3 linked regions of the Drosophila melanogaster genome follow. The protein of the gene in region 2 interacts with the protein of the main gene of each other region in a pairwise test. Each region holds a gene or a part of one and is shown on either strand. Other genes may lie near its edges.

Region 1 (6,627 bases), on a different chromosome or scaffold from region 2:
TCTCATCGGTCCCAGCCGCATAGCCCATAAGTCAGCCCCTTCTCCCTCTCCCTCTCCCGATCCCGATCCCCATTCCGATACCGTCTGGGAACTCATTGCGTAAATATGAGGGCATGCAATGCGGTAATAGGCTGGCTGCGCGTCTCTTGACAGTTGGGCCCAGTTTCCCGGTTCCTTATCACATGATTATTACCCAAAAATATTATCGCTAAATGATGATGATCATTTTGGGCTTGAGAGTGCCCACGGGAATTCATGTAACGCCGAGTAGCTCACACAAATTAAATAAATTATGCTTGCCCGAAAGACATGGCTTAAGCAAATACACGTGTTGACCATGTAAATGGGTTGCCTAATTTATTATAATTTTTATTGCTCTTTGTCGTTCAGCATTGCACGCCGGTCATTTGAAATTTGAAATTTAATATGTGGAATTTTTTCAATGCTAGCAATTGGGATTTTTCCAAACTCTGTGTACAATATATTGAAATAATTTTACTTAACACCCACCTCTGTGGCATAGTTTAATAATAATCGATACAAATATTTTGCTAAATATTATAGAAATTTCTGAGAAATGGGCGCGGCTGGCCCAGCAGCATCCAGCATAATCCGCCCAAAGTGTCCAACGAGATACATGTGTCAGGTAATGAGCGGCACCTGCCTTCGTGTAACTTTTGCCGTTTTACCGATTGCCATAAAGTGCGATTTAACAGATACCTTTGCTTTTTCAAAAACCGCCATTTTTTGGTTTCGGCTGTGTTCGGTCGACATGCTCAACTGCACGTGAGTTGAAGATGTAAAAATAAAGAAAATAACGCGCGGAGGAGACAAAACTTATCGAGGCGATCATGTTGAAATGCGTGAATTGAGCTTGGGTTTTGGGTTTTTGGGTTTTCGGGTTTGCTCGGCTTACTCTTCACTTTCAACTGGTGAAATTTTCGTACTCATCGGGGCTGACCTTGATCTGGGTCCCAAGCTGTGGAGAAAATAATGTAGATGGGCATCATTTCTTATGCTTATGCAATGGCAAGTGTGTTTGGGTATATCTTCTGGCTATTTATGGCCGGCATTATGTAACGTTTGGCAGCTCATTTAAAATTATAAGTACGATTAGTTGTTATATAGGTGCGTATTTAATGTAGCCACAGAACTTATTGATTAATAAGTGACCTTTACATTTCAATTATGTCGATTTCAATCGACATAAATTGTTGGTCAACACATCAGTTGAGATTATGCAATGAGCAAAGCGACAAAAGCACTGGCAAATACATACATTTCTGAGACGAAGCAAACAATAGCGTAAAATGCATTTATTTATGCAAAGAGACAGGAGACGCAGCACACAAAAAAAGTTCGAAATTTCCGTGCCAAAAACGATTTTGGCTCAAGTGGTGTCGTGTTTGTGAAGCTAATTAGATGGGAGTTAGCCCAATCCATTCAACGGCCATTCAAAGCGAAGTGGTGCAAAATGATGCGCAAGCCAAAGAAACGCCACCCATCGCCCACCGATCGTCCCCCCCTCCCCTTTTTTTGCACCACTTTGGCCACTTATCATTCACGGTTGCTGGTTAAACAGCCACTGAAGATTAGGCCATTCTCCCCGTGCTCCAATTTATAAATGGGTTACAGATTGCTCTTAAAATATATACATACATAGGTGCAAATTCACGAGTATCTACTTAAATCAAAAATTCTAGCAAGTCGCTAGAATTCTACTAATCTACTAATCTTAACATTTAAGTTTTTAGCTTAAAATACTTCTGGCCTAACCATTTTCCAATCTATTCAAAACATTTAAAAGGAATTTTTCAAAATGAATCAATCTCTAAATTTATTGCCTCTGTAGTACAGGGTATTCAAATTTCGACTTGCATACAATCAGCTCCGTTGATTGTTACAATGTTTCTCACACTAAAAATCCTGAAAATAAAAAGTTAAATTAAAAGAAAGTATATGGTTTTTATAAAGAAAAAAGAAGTGTTCAACAGTAGGACTTCATGGAATAAACATTTTCGAGTGTAGTACTGCCGCCAAACCAAAAAAAAAGCCCCACCACTCATTCTCTCTTTTTGGGGTACGGCGCTCTCATCGAATTGAGTGGATGGATCGATGCGACTCTCGGTTCGTATATAAGGCGGGGTTCCCCAATGCTTTTGACATTCCAGTTGATCAGTGCCAGCCGATCGGTCGGTAGAGAGAAGTGCGTCGCGAGTCCAAAAAAGAAAATCGAGCCCGCAGAAAGTGCCAGTGAATAGACTGATAAAGCAAACAAAAATGAAAGCTTTCATTATCGCCGGAGTGTGCGTGTTGAGCGTGCTGAGCCTGGGATCCGCTCAGTTCCAGAACGGACGTCTGGAGCCGCCGAATCCGCAGCTCTGTGCCCAGCGTGTCATTCACGAGAAGACTCCCGATGGCAAGGGGTGAGTCAGCAGGATATGCTCACCAAAACATAAACTATAGGGTTTGCTTCTCTCCCCGCAGTTACTTCTTCTCGTGGCGCGACCCTCAGCTGAAGGGCGTGGAGGAGGACTGGCTGACCGCCAGGAACTACTGCCGCAGGCGCTGCATGGACTCCGTTTCCCTGGAGACCAGTTTGGAGAACGAGTGGATCAAGCAGTATGTTGTGCGCGAGAATGTAAGTACAAATTTCAGGGGCTATAACGATGAAAATAAATTAAGGCAAGAAATGATAAGAGAAATCGAAAGACTTAGGAAACGAACTCAAGTATAGGTGTTGTCATGAATAGCACACAAATGCGCACACGCAAAGCTAATCTTTTATCTCAACTTTCATAAATATTTACTCCGAAAATGTTGAGTCTATAAATGGATTGTCCCAAGTCAATAAATTAAACCTTACGTAAGTCCCACTTATGATATTGGAACCATGTCCAAACTAATAAATTGATCTGAACTTCAATGCACCTGTTTGTTAAACATTTAAGCATTGATAGATCAAACAAATGACCGAAAATACCATTGAAATGTGCAACTCATTCACTATGTATATGTTTTTTTTTCCGGCGAAAGGCTATTATAAATGCAAAATCAAACACTAATAAATGGACCGCATCAATGTGGACTTTTACACCTTAAAGTCGAAAAAGCTTGCCAATAATTTATTGTACCTGCATCTATTAGATTTTGTTTCCGTTGTTTTCTCACCTGTTTTGCATGACATTATGTCACCTTTCTTAATTTGTTTGGCAAGTTAAATAACGTCAGTTTAGCCGCGTGTGAACTGTTTAGCGCGTTTTATTTGGCAGCTCAGACAAGACACAACAAAACGCTGACCTTAATTCCGAGGATGCTGGGGGGGCACACAATAAAAATAATTGCGAAATCCCTGACACTAACATCGCTCCACAAAGTTCAATGTGAAATTGCGCATAAAAACTGAACGGAAAGGCAAAATACGCATCATAAATACAGAAAAACTTTCCCAGTTGTTGCCTCTGTAATTTTGCACACGAATGGAATCGTCTGATATTATGCAACGCTCTTCGGATGAACAAGTGTCAAGTTTGGAGTTGTGGTCAGCCGGGCTCATCTCATCCCATCTCATCTGCCATCTTCCGACTCATTGCCCACATCCCATCTCCGGTTTTGCGGCATGGGAAGGCACTGGCGGTCGAATTAAAATCGAAAGTACATGTGTGCGATGGGAAAGCCTGGCCGGAAAAGCTGATCAACAAAATTACTTAGCAAAATTAGCAAGCTGCGAACACGCAACCGAATTCATTTGTTTTACATTTTGCGTATAAGATCCAAAAGGAAATTGAATGCAAACCATAGGCGATAAAAAGTCGAAGATGGAAAGTAACTCATGATCATCGAATATTAATATATTAACCACATATCAACCAACATATAAGACAACAAATCTTTTTTTAGATGTCCAATGGAAACGCAGTACTTTCCATTAAAATTTTCCGCTTCCTGCTAAGTTGCATCTCCCACCACCGACTTCTCTGCAAGACTTTTATTTAACTATTAGTAGGACAGGTGTATAAACATCACTCATTTAGGTTTCCGCAACGGGTAAAATGCATTCATTGTCTGAGTTTTAAACAATTACATTGCAATCTGGACCCCTTAAATGAAACGCTAAAACCGCCAGCGACAAAACCGAAATCAATGTCCATAAATCTATTTCAGCTTTACGCTCATTGGAGTTTTCCAAAAGGGCAGACATCCACATCGAGTCGTCTGGGTCTCTTTGTTTTTTTTTTTTTTTTTTTTTTGTGTGCTGCCCCCTTAACAAAACAATTTTTATGGCCCATCAGGTGAAAGTGACTGATGATCGCTTAACTGCGGCTGCGCAGCGGCTTTTGCTTTTGCTTCTGCTCACTTGAAATGTTGACAGTATCGGGTGCGCCAGCTCCAAAAGGGCGCGGACTCGGATTCGGAATGGGAATGGGTATGGGTATATGGGTTCGCTTTCAGCGATAAAAATGGTTGTTTGGGCGTGACAGGCCCAAAAGAGTTGCTAACTGGAATTTCTACCACTATTTTGTTCGTCGATGCCAGCCCTGCATTTTCTTGCGTAGGTGGGGGATTGATGGGGGAAATTTCTATTTCTATTTCAGTATCTGCAAGGGGCAATGAACTATTGATACTATTTCATTGATTCAGTTTCCTTGGATGGATATTTGAATTTTGTCCTGGTTTCAGTACATTAATGAGAACACTACTCTCACGTTGCAGGTGAAATACATCTGGACCAGCGGCCGCTTGTGTGACTTCAAGGGCTGTGACCGCCCCGATCTGCAGCCCACAAACATCAACGGTTGGTTCTGGACCGCCACACTGCAGAAACTGGCACCAACCACTGAGAGGAACCAGGGCGATTGGTCGCCCACCGGAGGCATTGGCCTGCCCCAGCCGGACAACCGCGAGTACAAGCAGAATGGAGCGCCGGAGAATTGTCTCGCCCTGCTGAATCAGTTCTACAACGATGGCGTAAACTGGCACGATGTGGCATGCCATCACAAGAAGAGCTTCGTCTGCGAGGAGAACGATGCTCTGCTGAAGTATGTGCGCTACACGAACCCCAATCTGCGCATCTAAGAGGATCGCGATCAGGATCAGAATCCGAATGCGAATGTGGGCTGGCGGAAGGACCAGCGACACTCTCCAAGTAAAACCAAAAATGATATTTCCCAAATCGGCAGCGGGAACGATGATCGATGTCAACTATATGTCTAATCTCCGATTGTCTTTGAATGCAAAGTTTTCTGGCCAAATTGCTGCATGATATACTTACTTATGAACCCTATCCTGGTAACCACCTTCCAATTCTCTGCGCTCTGTTCTGTCTCATCAACTAGTTTAATTCTTAATTTTGTATTAATTTATGATTTTCTTTAATTATAATAAAAGATTCGAAACGATTTTGATAAGTGGACAACGGCATTATTTATTTTTTTGTTAATTTGATATAGCATTGAACGTTTAAATTGATTTATTTAAGGATATTATGATAGAATCATAAATACCTCTTTTCCAGGGTAGAGGTTAGATATTAATAAATGCTTTTTATTAAATCTACAGATCCTAAGAACCCTCTTTCAAATTGTATGATATTGTTCAGCGCTGCAGATATGAATATAAATCTGTTCCGAGTTTTGTTTTCCATACGATGAAATAATTGTACAAATTTGAATTATAAAAACCAAAAAAAAGTTCTGTTTCAAGCTGAGCCATTTGAAGTATAACACAAGAGAAAATGCTACAGTCGAGTTTCCCGACTACCAGATATCCGTTACTCAAGTAGTGGGATTTTTCTGGGATATCTATAGATTGGGAAATACATACATACATTGTTTTATTCAACCTTTAAAAAAATAAAGCCACAAAATAAAGTGTTTCGAACTTGAAATTCTGACGCCAAGAAGTATGCTATGATTTTGATAGTAGATAAGCTTTAGTATCTTATGCGTTTTGTATATTACGATCATGAAATGAACGGTGAAAACTAGTACATGCACACAATTTTGATGAGTGATTGTTGAGAACGAAAGATTGAATGAAAATGAAAACCCTTTTTTTTTGGGCAACACTAGAACATCTGGGACAGTTTCACCAGATCCAAGAGGGAATAAAATGGCTTCTGTTTGGAATCTCGCTCGTGACTCTTAACCGGAATGTCCTGAAGTAAATTTGGTTCCCTGCTCGCCCGACATTTGTCCAGCACCCGTTCAAACTCCGCCAGTGCGAAATCTTGAGTGGATGACGCTCTCTTCGGATCAATAGTCTCCAGTATGGCCTCCCACTGGGCCCGCTGCGGCTTGATGACTATCCCTGCACCTTTGTCGGCTGCATTAATGGTGGCCACTGCTGCACCGGCTCCTTCAATCATGGCCAGCACCAGACAGCCCACCAGAGCACTGTTGGCCATGGCCCGAATGCCATTACGGGCTGCCAATATCCCACCAGTGGCCGCTCCACTGAGTATCGAGTTCCAGGCATCCTCCCTCTGGCGATAGTGGACCAGGGCGCAATCCACTGTGCTGAAAGTGGCACCCCAAACGGCAAAGCTGCCGGCAATGGACGGCGTTCTCATCTTCACCAAATCAATGCCACCATAAAGTCTGCGCTGCAATCCGGTAGGAGCGTTAC
Region 2 (4,777 bases):
GTGTGCGAGGGTCTATGTTGGAGGGGGCCTGGTCACTTAGCAGCGGGAATTGCACATACATTCGCATTTACACTCCAGTTAACACCCCAGGGACATTGGCAGTGCCACCACAGAGAGAGAAATAATGTTTGCCTTACTTTTATATCTATAACAAATATAAGATATTTTTTGAGTGTACTAGAAATTATTATATAAATGTTAAATTCCTAGAAATAAGCAAGTACGTCCTTTAATTATTATATTTTTATGTCTGTTAACGTATGAAACACTATAAATATTTAATTAAATAATTAAATCTTTATACCACTCTCCAAATATAATTATTGTGCAATCTTATTCCATTCTTTCTATTTTTCCAAATGTATCTTGAAGTCGAAGGAGCTACGCAATTTTACGAATGCTGCGTTGCACTTTTCCGCTTGGCACATGTAGATGTACTGCTGGCATCTAGTGCAGTTTATATAGATTATATACGTGGATTTGTGAAGCAAATTTGTATTTATGCTGATGGCCAGGCACCCATGACACTCGCTATTTCAATGGCTTGCCTTTCCCTGGTGTTCCCAGTCCTGAAGCCTGAATTCTGATTCTCGATTCCTGACTCCCGGCACATTATGTGCCCCATTTAATGTCTATGTATGTGCAGCCAGTACACTTGCACATACTATGGCACACACTTACACGCCCAGTGAACGTCAAGTGGCAATTTACATTAGTTTTATTGTATACGAAATTAGCAGCATTTAGCAGTGGCAGCCGGCAAAACTTTTGCCTTTCGGCTCCGTTCGCTATGTCCCACCCCTACACCCATACACACACACACATGTATTGCTATAAATGGAGGATATATTCTCATCCGCAGTCAAGGGTTTGTATGTTAGATTTGTTTGCTCGTTTGGCTGCACTGTCGCACTCGGCATATCAATTTTCCCGCTCATCCACCTCTCCCCTCAGGACATTTCAAGGTAGGAAATCGATTTTGTTAATGAAAACGAAGGAGAACTTCAAGGAGAAGGCCACCCAGGGGATCGGGTGTCGATTGGAGCGTAAGTTTGATATTTGTTACGGGCGGAACAATGGCCATTCTGCTCGATGATGGCATTCCCGAAGGATTATATTGCAACTTTCGAGCTTGATTTTTTATATTCTTCCGCTGAACATAGTTATTATGATGTGTATTTAGTTTTTATTGTCTGTTTTTTGTATACAAAGTAAAAATGGTCTCGCCACTCCTTACATATGCAAGAAATATAAACATCTTCCAGTTGAAGCAACAAAAAATAAAAAAAAGAATGCGGAAAAACAAGTAACCTAAAATTTTTAAGAAACATTGTGACAGCTGCCCGTTTCAGGTTCACACTAGATGGCACTCGTTCACCAAAACGACATCATCTTCGACCACGTCGCCATTACGATTGGCATGGTGCTCATGGTGAATGGGACAGCTGACGATGAGCTCCTCCTTGGGTTCCATCTTCTGTGCCTCCTTCTTGGCCTTCTTCGTTAGTGCCTTATCCTTGATGCCCTTCTTTTTTTCCATCTCCAGCTCCAATTCTAGGTGATCGCCCAGCAGGTGATCGATGACATCGGGATTGTTGCGCAAAGCCAGATCCATGGCGCCATCAAGGAATTGATAGAGGGGTGAACTAACGTGACGCTGTGGCTCCTTTGGTGGTTCCAGCAAGAGATTTCCCTCGAAATTGGGCTGCAACAGCTGTTGCAGCATGTAGAGCATCGGTGGCACAGCCGGCGAGGATTTATGCTTGCGATGGTGCTTCAGTGGTGCTGCATTATGAAGTCCGCGTGGAGTGTTCTCGGCTGCATTCAGCAGTAGCACTCCGGCCAATTCCGGTGGCAGAACTTCCGGACCGTAGTTCAGCTCCTGCTGCACACTCTCAATCATCATGTTGGGCGCCAGCAGCTCGAACTCCTTTATCTCGTGCTTGCCATCTGGCGAAACCAGCTTGTTGTAGTACACGTAGGGATTGGAATTGGGATTGGGATTGGGATTAAGATTGGGATTAGGGTTGGGTGGCAATGAGGTGGCCATAGCAGCAGCTTCCACCGCTGGGCGACGCTTGTGGTGCAATTGTCGTGGCTGCAGACTGTCGTCCATCAGGCTACCCAAACGCCTCTTGGGACGGCGCAGTCCCAGCAGATCCTCCACTAGCTGAAATTTTCCGGCATCCGGAGGCGAGGATGTGGATGCCACAGCAGCAAGTGATGATGATAATGCGGTGGTGGTTGTGGAGCTAGTGGTTTTTCCACGAACTCCCATACTGCGCACCGGTCCAGCAGTAATCTTCTGCTCCGGAGATGTGGCGGCTTCAGTCATGTTAGCGGTGGTAATGGTACTATTGGCCAACACGGTGGCTTTTCCGCTCAGTGAAGCAGTATTGTCCATTGTAGTGGTTTCATTATAATCACTTGCAGTATCGCCTTGAGAACGCTTCATGCGCAGACAATCGCCGTACATCGGCCGCATCAACATGAGGACACCTTAAGCAAAACAATGGATGCGTTTGAAATACACGCAATTAATTATAAATAATTGCATGCTAGATGGTACTGAAAACTAACGTATACTTACACCCAAGGATCAGCAAGTAGTTCATCTTGTATTGCATGATAGGCAGCGCTGTGGAAGACAGTTGAGTTGAAAAAGTGAAAAGTGACCACAAATATTCTCAGAGTTGAATATTTATTGTAGATTTTTTTCCACCAGAATAGTTACAATTTGAACTTACTTTATTTGATTGGAGTGGGTTCTAGGTGTGCTCGGCACAAAGTTTGTACTGAAAATAATTCGAAATGCTTCCTGCCTCATGGCGAGGCTTTGACAGACAGCTGGGGACCTGGTAAAAGGTTACTGAGAGTACGAAAAAAAAAATCGAATTTCAATATTTTTCTGATGGGGATTTTCCACACACACTCACTTCCATTTGTGGCGACCTTTTCAAGTGCTGCAAATGGCAGCAATGGTACAAAAACAAAAAAAAAAGTAACAAAACACAACCGCGCACACCAAAAAAGTTTGTTTCGTGGGCCGCAAACAAAAGCAAACAGTGGAAAAAGTTTAGCTTATAAATTTCCAATCAATTTTTCGTGCAAAAATCAAGCGACCTCACACTCACACACAGGCACAAGCTCAAGTGTTCATACACGTAGTGTGTGCCTGCGTGTGAGTAGCTATTACTTGATTAATAAATATTAGCAGCAAAAATTGGAAAATTCTCAGCGAAGCGTAAAAGTGCAAACACCCAAACGGAAATGCGATACATTTGCGAAATGGCAGGAGCATTTTCCAAAACATCGATGCTTCTCTACGCACACAAGCACGCACACAGCACTACTCACCTACTCCATGTAACTTTTGATATAAAAGGTATATAAGAATTATCGAAGATATGAAATATAGGTTATGAATCTGCATGGATTGACTTATTGACTTAAACTATAATTTCCCATTTGTTCAAAATGTAACAACTATATCTTCTTTTGTGTTATATATCAAATGAATTTTGGTTACTTTCAAAAGGGTATTTCTTTCTCGATTCCCGTTTTTTTAGCCTAAAACTTGAACTTGTTTCTGCCGCCTTCGTCTTTAGGCATTAATAATGTAAAGTGCGTGCGTCAAATGTGAATTCCTTGCTGCCAACGCACGCGATTTCATAAACTGGCGACATTTTCAACAAACAATTCTCATCGCCGTCTTCGATGTGCTTGTGTGTGTGTGTGTGTGTGCGCCCTTCGAGGCGACTTGGCGCTCAGGTGGATTTTGGGGTGCAGGAGGCGGTAAACCAAGGGACCCCGAGGAGCAGGCACTTTTCCTTATCAGCTTAAATGTAAATGCCAAACGAGTGCACTGAAGGCGGGGAGGGGGGTCGAAAGGGGGCGTGGCTGAGCAGCAGCTGTTGCTGCATTGGGGATTTGCACATTTATACTCGCATATTGTAGCCCCACTCCTCGAAAACCCCGTTTTTCCGGTCCATCCTGCTGTCTCGTTTTCATCTTCTCGTTTTTTATCTGCCAAAGTTGATTTTTCGAGTGTATTGAATAAAAGTCGATTTTCCCCTTCTGGATTTGTGCGCGTTCGACAAGCGGCTTAAATGCGTACAGTTAATACATATCCTTTTTGCATATGTCTGCGTGTCTGGGGCTTATAAGCCAGTGTGTAAGTGGGTGTGCGTGCTCTTGCTTTGATGTGTGAGTCCGTTAAGGTCGTGGCTTATTAGGGGTCCGAAACCTTTGCCGCAGTGCATCAACGCGGCGGGATTTGCACGCAGACACTGCAAAAAGGCTCCCAAGACGATCCACTATAATTGGTAGCGAAAATCACGCATCCGCCGTGTGGGTCAAGTGGTGCTAGGGGAACTGGTCTAGCAATTGCTTTGATCTCGGGCGGAAAATCGGTGAGTGCGACTTTTATTAAATGTTTCCCTTTCGATTTGTTTCGGCGGAAAAGACTCCGGCTTTGTAAACTTTCATTAGTTGCCTCGTTAATATTCCAATTGTTGACACACAAAGGCGAAAGGTGGTGGAGGGGATGGCTGGCTTAACCTGTGTATAAAGGAATTTAATTAATAACGTCCTTCGTCCTTTTGCGTGTGCAGCGCGGCGTAAACTTAATTAAATGCGCAAGTGGCAAGTAGCAAGTAGCTGGGGCCACAGTGGCAAATGACAAGTGGAGATGCAGGACCAGCAGACGCAACTGGAGAAGCTCAGGTGCAAAGGTTGAAGGTAACACCTGGCCCGGCTAGAAGTAAGAAAAAAAAAC
Region 3 (4,676 bases), on a different chromosome or scaffold from region 2:
CGGCAAACAAAAGGAGAAAGAAGAAAAAGCAGCTAATATCCTTCGGCGATTACACGGAAGCAGGACTCGTATGTGTTTTTTCCTCAACGCTGGACAATGGCGTTTTTATTGATAAAAATTATGCACGCCGGCAAACAAAGGCGGGGCCCAAAGATGTTGGACAACTTGACTCAGCAGAAAAGACGGCGAAGACGAACGATCCCGGGACAAAGGACCTGCTGTCATAATGGCTCAATCAGGCAACAGGACTAAGGACATTCGTTCGGGACTAACGGTACACCCATGGTCCTGCATTCTGGCCCTCTGTTGACACAATGTCTGGCGGACAGAGGAAACGGCATTGCTGCGGTCACTGAAATGTCATCCATCCGAGGATGTGGACAAAAAAGACATCTACACGGCGACAGCTTCGACGTCGGCTAACTTAAAAAGGATCCTTCAATGTATTTGCCTAACGGTCTCTGCGACAGTCCTTTCTGCGGATGGGTTAACGGTGAGAACTGCGCAGGACACTACCGAAACGACTTTGATTCGGACCGACAATTCGGGTTGAGGATCCAACAACAACTATGAACTGTGTCTGTAATAAAAGTTTGATATTATATAGCTTGCAATCAGAGATATTTACATTTTGTGCCCATATGCGTTTCATCTTCAGCGAATAAGCAATCGAAAAAAACCAAACAAACCAAGCTCGTGATTTGCAATCGCACTTGTGATCAGAACTGATCAATACGTATTTAAGTCCCAGTTCTTTAAAGAAGATACTTCCCCTTGTGCAAGAACTCAATTTTCTTAGCTAATTTTCGGCAGTCACCCAGCAGGATTCCCAAAAAGGACCAACTACTACATCGATTTTCCATTGAACTTCGTAGCTGTGAAGAGTGGGCGTATTGGAGTGCCGCCCATTTCAGCTAACGATTATTTGGCAGAAAATTTGCAATTCTGTTAAAAAGCAAACAGGATTCATGCAAAAGGATTTGCCAGCTAAAGCGTAAAATGCCGTTTAAGACCATTTTCCCCTGAGAGACCCGGCTATTCTTAGGTAAAGATGATGCGACAGCCTATTGACTTAAGATTACGAGAATGCAGCCAACCGAAAGGAGATCCTGACTGAGCCCGTTCACTTGTCACTACTCACTCACTTACCTCTTAAGCCGGCTGAGCTGCATAATTTTCCATAAAAAACAAACAATAATAAGAACGACGCATCCGTCTGTTGATTGTGAAGCAATGCATTTGAACAACGTGATTAGGAAGTGGTTATTAACTATTGGCTCTTCTTGACGACGTGCGCCAAGTCGTAGACTCCGCGCACAGCCTTCAGCTTAACGCCGGGCACGTCCTGCAGACGCCCCACGCGGCACAGTACAATGTTGTGCTCTTGCAGGTTGTGCCCGATGCCGGGGATGTAGGCCACCATCTCCTTGCCGGTGGAGAGGCGCACCAGCACGCACTTTCGATTGGCCGAGTTCGGCTTCTTGGGCTTCTTTATCAGCGTCTTCAGGACAACGCCCTTGGCGAAGGGCTTTCCATCCAGCGGCTGGCGCGGCGGACGCGTCTTTATGTGCGGTCCGCTGCGGTGCATCTGCTGCAGCGATGCCATTCCACGGACGGCGGTCTCATAGCTGCACTGGATGGCTGGCAAAGAAGTGAAAGAGTTAGATATGTCGCTTAAAGAAAACCAGTACAACAAAATTAACTGCTCCAAGTTTGAGATTGCAATCATGATCATTTTTAGAGGTAACACTCCTAGTTGATTATGAGAAAGTGGCTAGACTATAAACACACAAGGGTTCGGCCATCGATCGACTCGATTGAGAATGCAATGATGGGAGCGAAAGAGATCGCTCGAAATCAATAAAGCACGACTGTACCGGCTTCGAAATGCGGACAAAAGGGTCACTTCCACGGACAGTTGGTCAGTGATTGACAATGCCCGCTGGTTCTGTGCTGGCTCCTTTGTCATACGGCTAATCTCTGTGGAAATCGAGAATTGTGGAACGGAGTTGGCGGCTGGCGACAATAATTGCGGCCAAATGACGCGCAAGCATGGAAGTACTCGCTCCGAATCCTGTCAAGCCTTTTTGGCCAGAAACAAAGCGACGTAGCAGCGTTTTCAATTATAAATATGCCAAATGCCACACACAACACAAGCGGCAGGTAATAATTTCCATATGCAGGATTGCCGGACAAACAAATCCGGCACCTATTGTCTCCTAAACTGCGACCTTTTTTTTGCGGTTGAACATTTCCATTGTTTCCGCGCTTTTCCTTCTTTTTCGGGGTGACAGGTTTTCAATTATTTTTCCAATCTAAAGCGGGGGAGCTGCGGAATGTGCATGTTGATGTGCATGTGAAACTGGCAATGAAAATATTCGCAGGCGAAAAGTGCGGCCGCCACGCGCGGCCAACTCAAAAAGAGTTGGTAAAACCTGGGGGAAATGCACGAAAGTCGGGGGGAAAACAAACACTTATGCGCTCCCGGTTTATTTGGTTTTCGCTTCGCAGCGGAAGGGTGGCTAAATGCGCCAAGTCACGGACTCCTGAGGGCCAGTTCCTGCTTAGGAGCAGCTAATGGCCACCAAATCAATTAAAATATTCGATTTTTAAGGTATTTAACTTGGTTTAGTTAAGCTTACCCTGCGAAGCCAACTGTTTCGTAATGCCAAAGGATTGCCGCAGAAAATTCATGCTCTTGGAGTTTTGTTCAGTAGTTTTTTGTTCAGTTTGTAGTACCAGCCGTCGCTCGGATTGGTGGCGCTTGCTCGGAAGCTATTTAGTCGGCCTTTTGTGTTATAAAAGCGCTAAAATATTTAATAATCTAATTCCAATTCAATTCTAATGTGACAATCAGCTGTTGCTGTCCTAGAGCTGGCACAGGTGTCGATAGTCACGCATGGCAGTCACGTATGGTAGGTGCACTCGCTAAAACATGGTGGGTGCATCCGCCAGTGAGAGTTGCCAGATGAAGGCGGGATTTTTAAAAATGGTATTTAAGAATATGAAAATCCCAGTATTTTGAATGACAGCACTTAAATTTCCCATCATTAAAACAAAAATACGTTAAAAAATATGTTTAAAGATTCACTTTTTAATTTCAGGACTCGCATATTCGTTTAAAACTGCCGCCTATGAGCTTAAATCGAGTTTAGGATGCTTCTCTCTTGGGTTTTGTGTATTAGTCACATCTAGAAATGTATTAACTTAATGCTATATAGTTGGTTTGACTTAAACGTACATTAGGTTGCTTGTTAATTGAACTAATCAATTTGAGTTGCTGACGCCTGACGTTTACACTGCAATAAATAAATAACGCTATGCTACAGGGCTTATTCGAGATAAAATTTGGCCCCCGAAATAGTTCTATCAATAATAAAAAAAAAAACTTAACATTAGTAATTCTACTGACTATCTGGCCGGCAGCAACGAAAAAAGTCTTACATTACCAATTCCTTATACTAAAGTTTGTATATTTTCAAATTCAATATTTAACTAAAACAAAACGAAGCAGCATTAACGTTTAACGACTTAGCTGCTTAGCTGTTTTTTTCTTTTAATTAAACGTTCTGCTCGAAATACATTTTAATGAGCTCAAAATGAAAACAAAACTTGATTACTAGTGTTTTAGCACAAAGTTACTCGAGCATTTGAAACGACAGAAACTTCTGTTAATGGCAAATTCCCTAGTTCTAAGCTTAATGATTGGCCAAATTAATTGGTTTTTTGGAAAACTAAACAGTACCGGGTGCCTTAAAGCTAATATTCGAGGGTTTCGAGCTGCTCTGCCGACCTGTCCTACGATTATCTCAATAATACACATCTAGTTTCGGATCCTTAAGTCTACTTGAAACTGTCTGTTTTTGGGGAACCACTTTCGCTTGCCGCTTAGGTATATTTCTCCTCGTTGTGCTGCTCCGCCCACTAGTCCACTAGTTAGTTGCCTCCTCTGCGAGCCATCACACCTCAATACTGTTCAGACTGCCCGACGATATGTTGTCCGTGTGGCTGCCCAGGCGCGTCCTCTTGATCATCGCCCTGCTCGGCATCGGCGATCTCTGGACCCTAGGGCTCCCTGGCACGATGGGTATGCCCACCAGGCCACCCGGATGGCCGGGGTGGTGGTGCAGATGCTGGTGGTGCGGCGGCAGGTTGTTGTTGTTGTTGTTGTGGTGGCTCAGGCCAATATTGAGATTGCTGTGGCTGTTGTGCACCTGCTGGTTGCCCGAGGTGCGTCGCTGTCGCCGCAGGGATGGTATCCTGGTCGGCGTGGGTGTGCCCTCCTCCATATGAAAGCCCCCGGGCTGCTGGTGACCCCTGACACTGCGCTCCATCATCGGCGACGGCTGGTGCGTGGGTGCCTGTTGGTAATAGGCCGAGTGCGGAGGCACCGGCGGCGGCTGCTGGTGGTAGTCCAGTCGCTTGTGCATCAGAGTGGGCGTGCCAGGCGGATGGTACGGCTGTGCGTGGTGAAGGCCATTCTGATGCAGTCCAGAGTTGTTCTGTGGAACATTAGGAGACATAAATTAGCAGGATAGGGCACTAGGCGAATCGTTATTTCATGAGTGAATGAATGACAATGTTGACAAAACAATATCGGCTGGGGGTTGGCTTATCCTGATTGCGGAGGCGGAAAAGCAATAGCACATGGGAGTTGTATGCACAGACTGTCAGCA

Evidence for each region.
Region 1: the proteins of CG15109 (region 2) and CG4115 interact in a two-hybrid assay, tested with the Drosophila melanogaster proteins (one large-scale study listed by BioGRID).
Region 3: the proteins of CG15109 (region 2) and tko interact in a two-hybrid assay, tested with the Drosophila melanogaster proteins (one large-scale study listed by BioGRID).

The regions. Positions count from the first base shown.
Region 1 is NT_033777.3:12,357,850-12,364,476, forward strand, and holds CG4115 (uncharacterized protein), read left to right. Parts: upstream 1-2,158; 5' UTR 2,159-2,280; coding exon 2,281-2,426; intron 2,427-2,487; coding exon 2,488-2,641; intron 2,642-4,713; coding exon 4,714-5,076; 3' UTR 5,077-5,406; downstream 5,407-6,627. Other genes in the region: Tim17a1, read right to left, coding at 6,068-6,627.
Region 2 is NT_033778.4:19,057,457-19,062,233, reverse strand, and holds CG15109 (uncharacterized protein), read right to left. Parts: upstream 2,814-4,777; 5' UTR 2,748-2,813; intron 2,639-2,747; 5' UTR 2,616-2,638; coding exon 2,591-2,615; exon of another isoform or gene 2,500-2,590; coding exon 1,355-2,499; 3' UTR 1,169-1,354; downstream 1-1,168.
Region 3 is NC_004354.4:2,441,092-2,445,767, forward strand, and holds tko (technical knockout), read right to left. Parts: upstream 2,886-4,676; 5' UTR 2,695-2,885; coding exon of another isoform or gene 2,643-2,694; intron 2,575-2,642; 5' UTR 1,736-2,574; coding exon 1,271-1,735; 3' UTR 1,222-1,270; downstream 1-1,221. Other genes in the region: boi (brother of ihog), read right to left, coding at 3,960-4,502.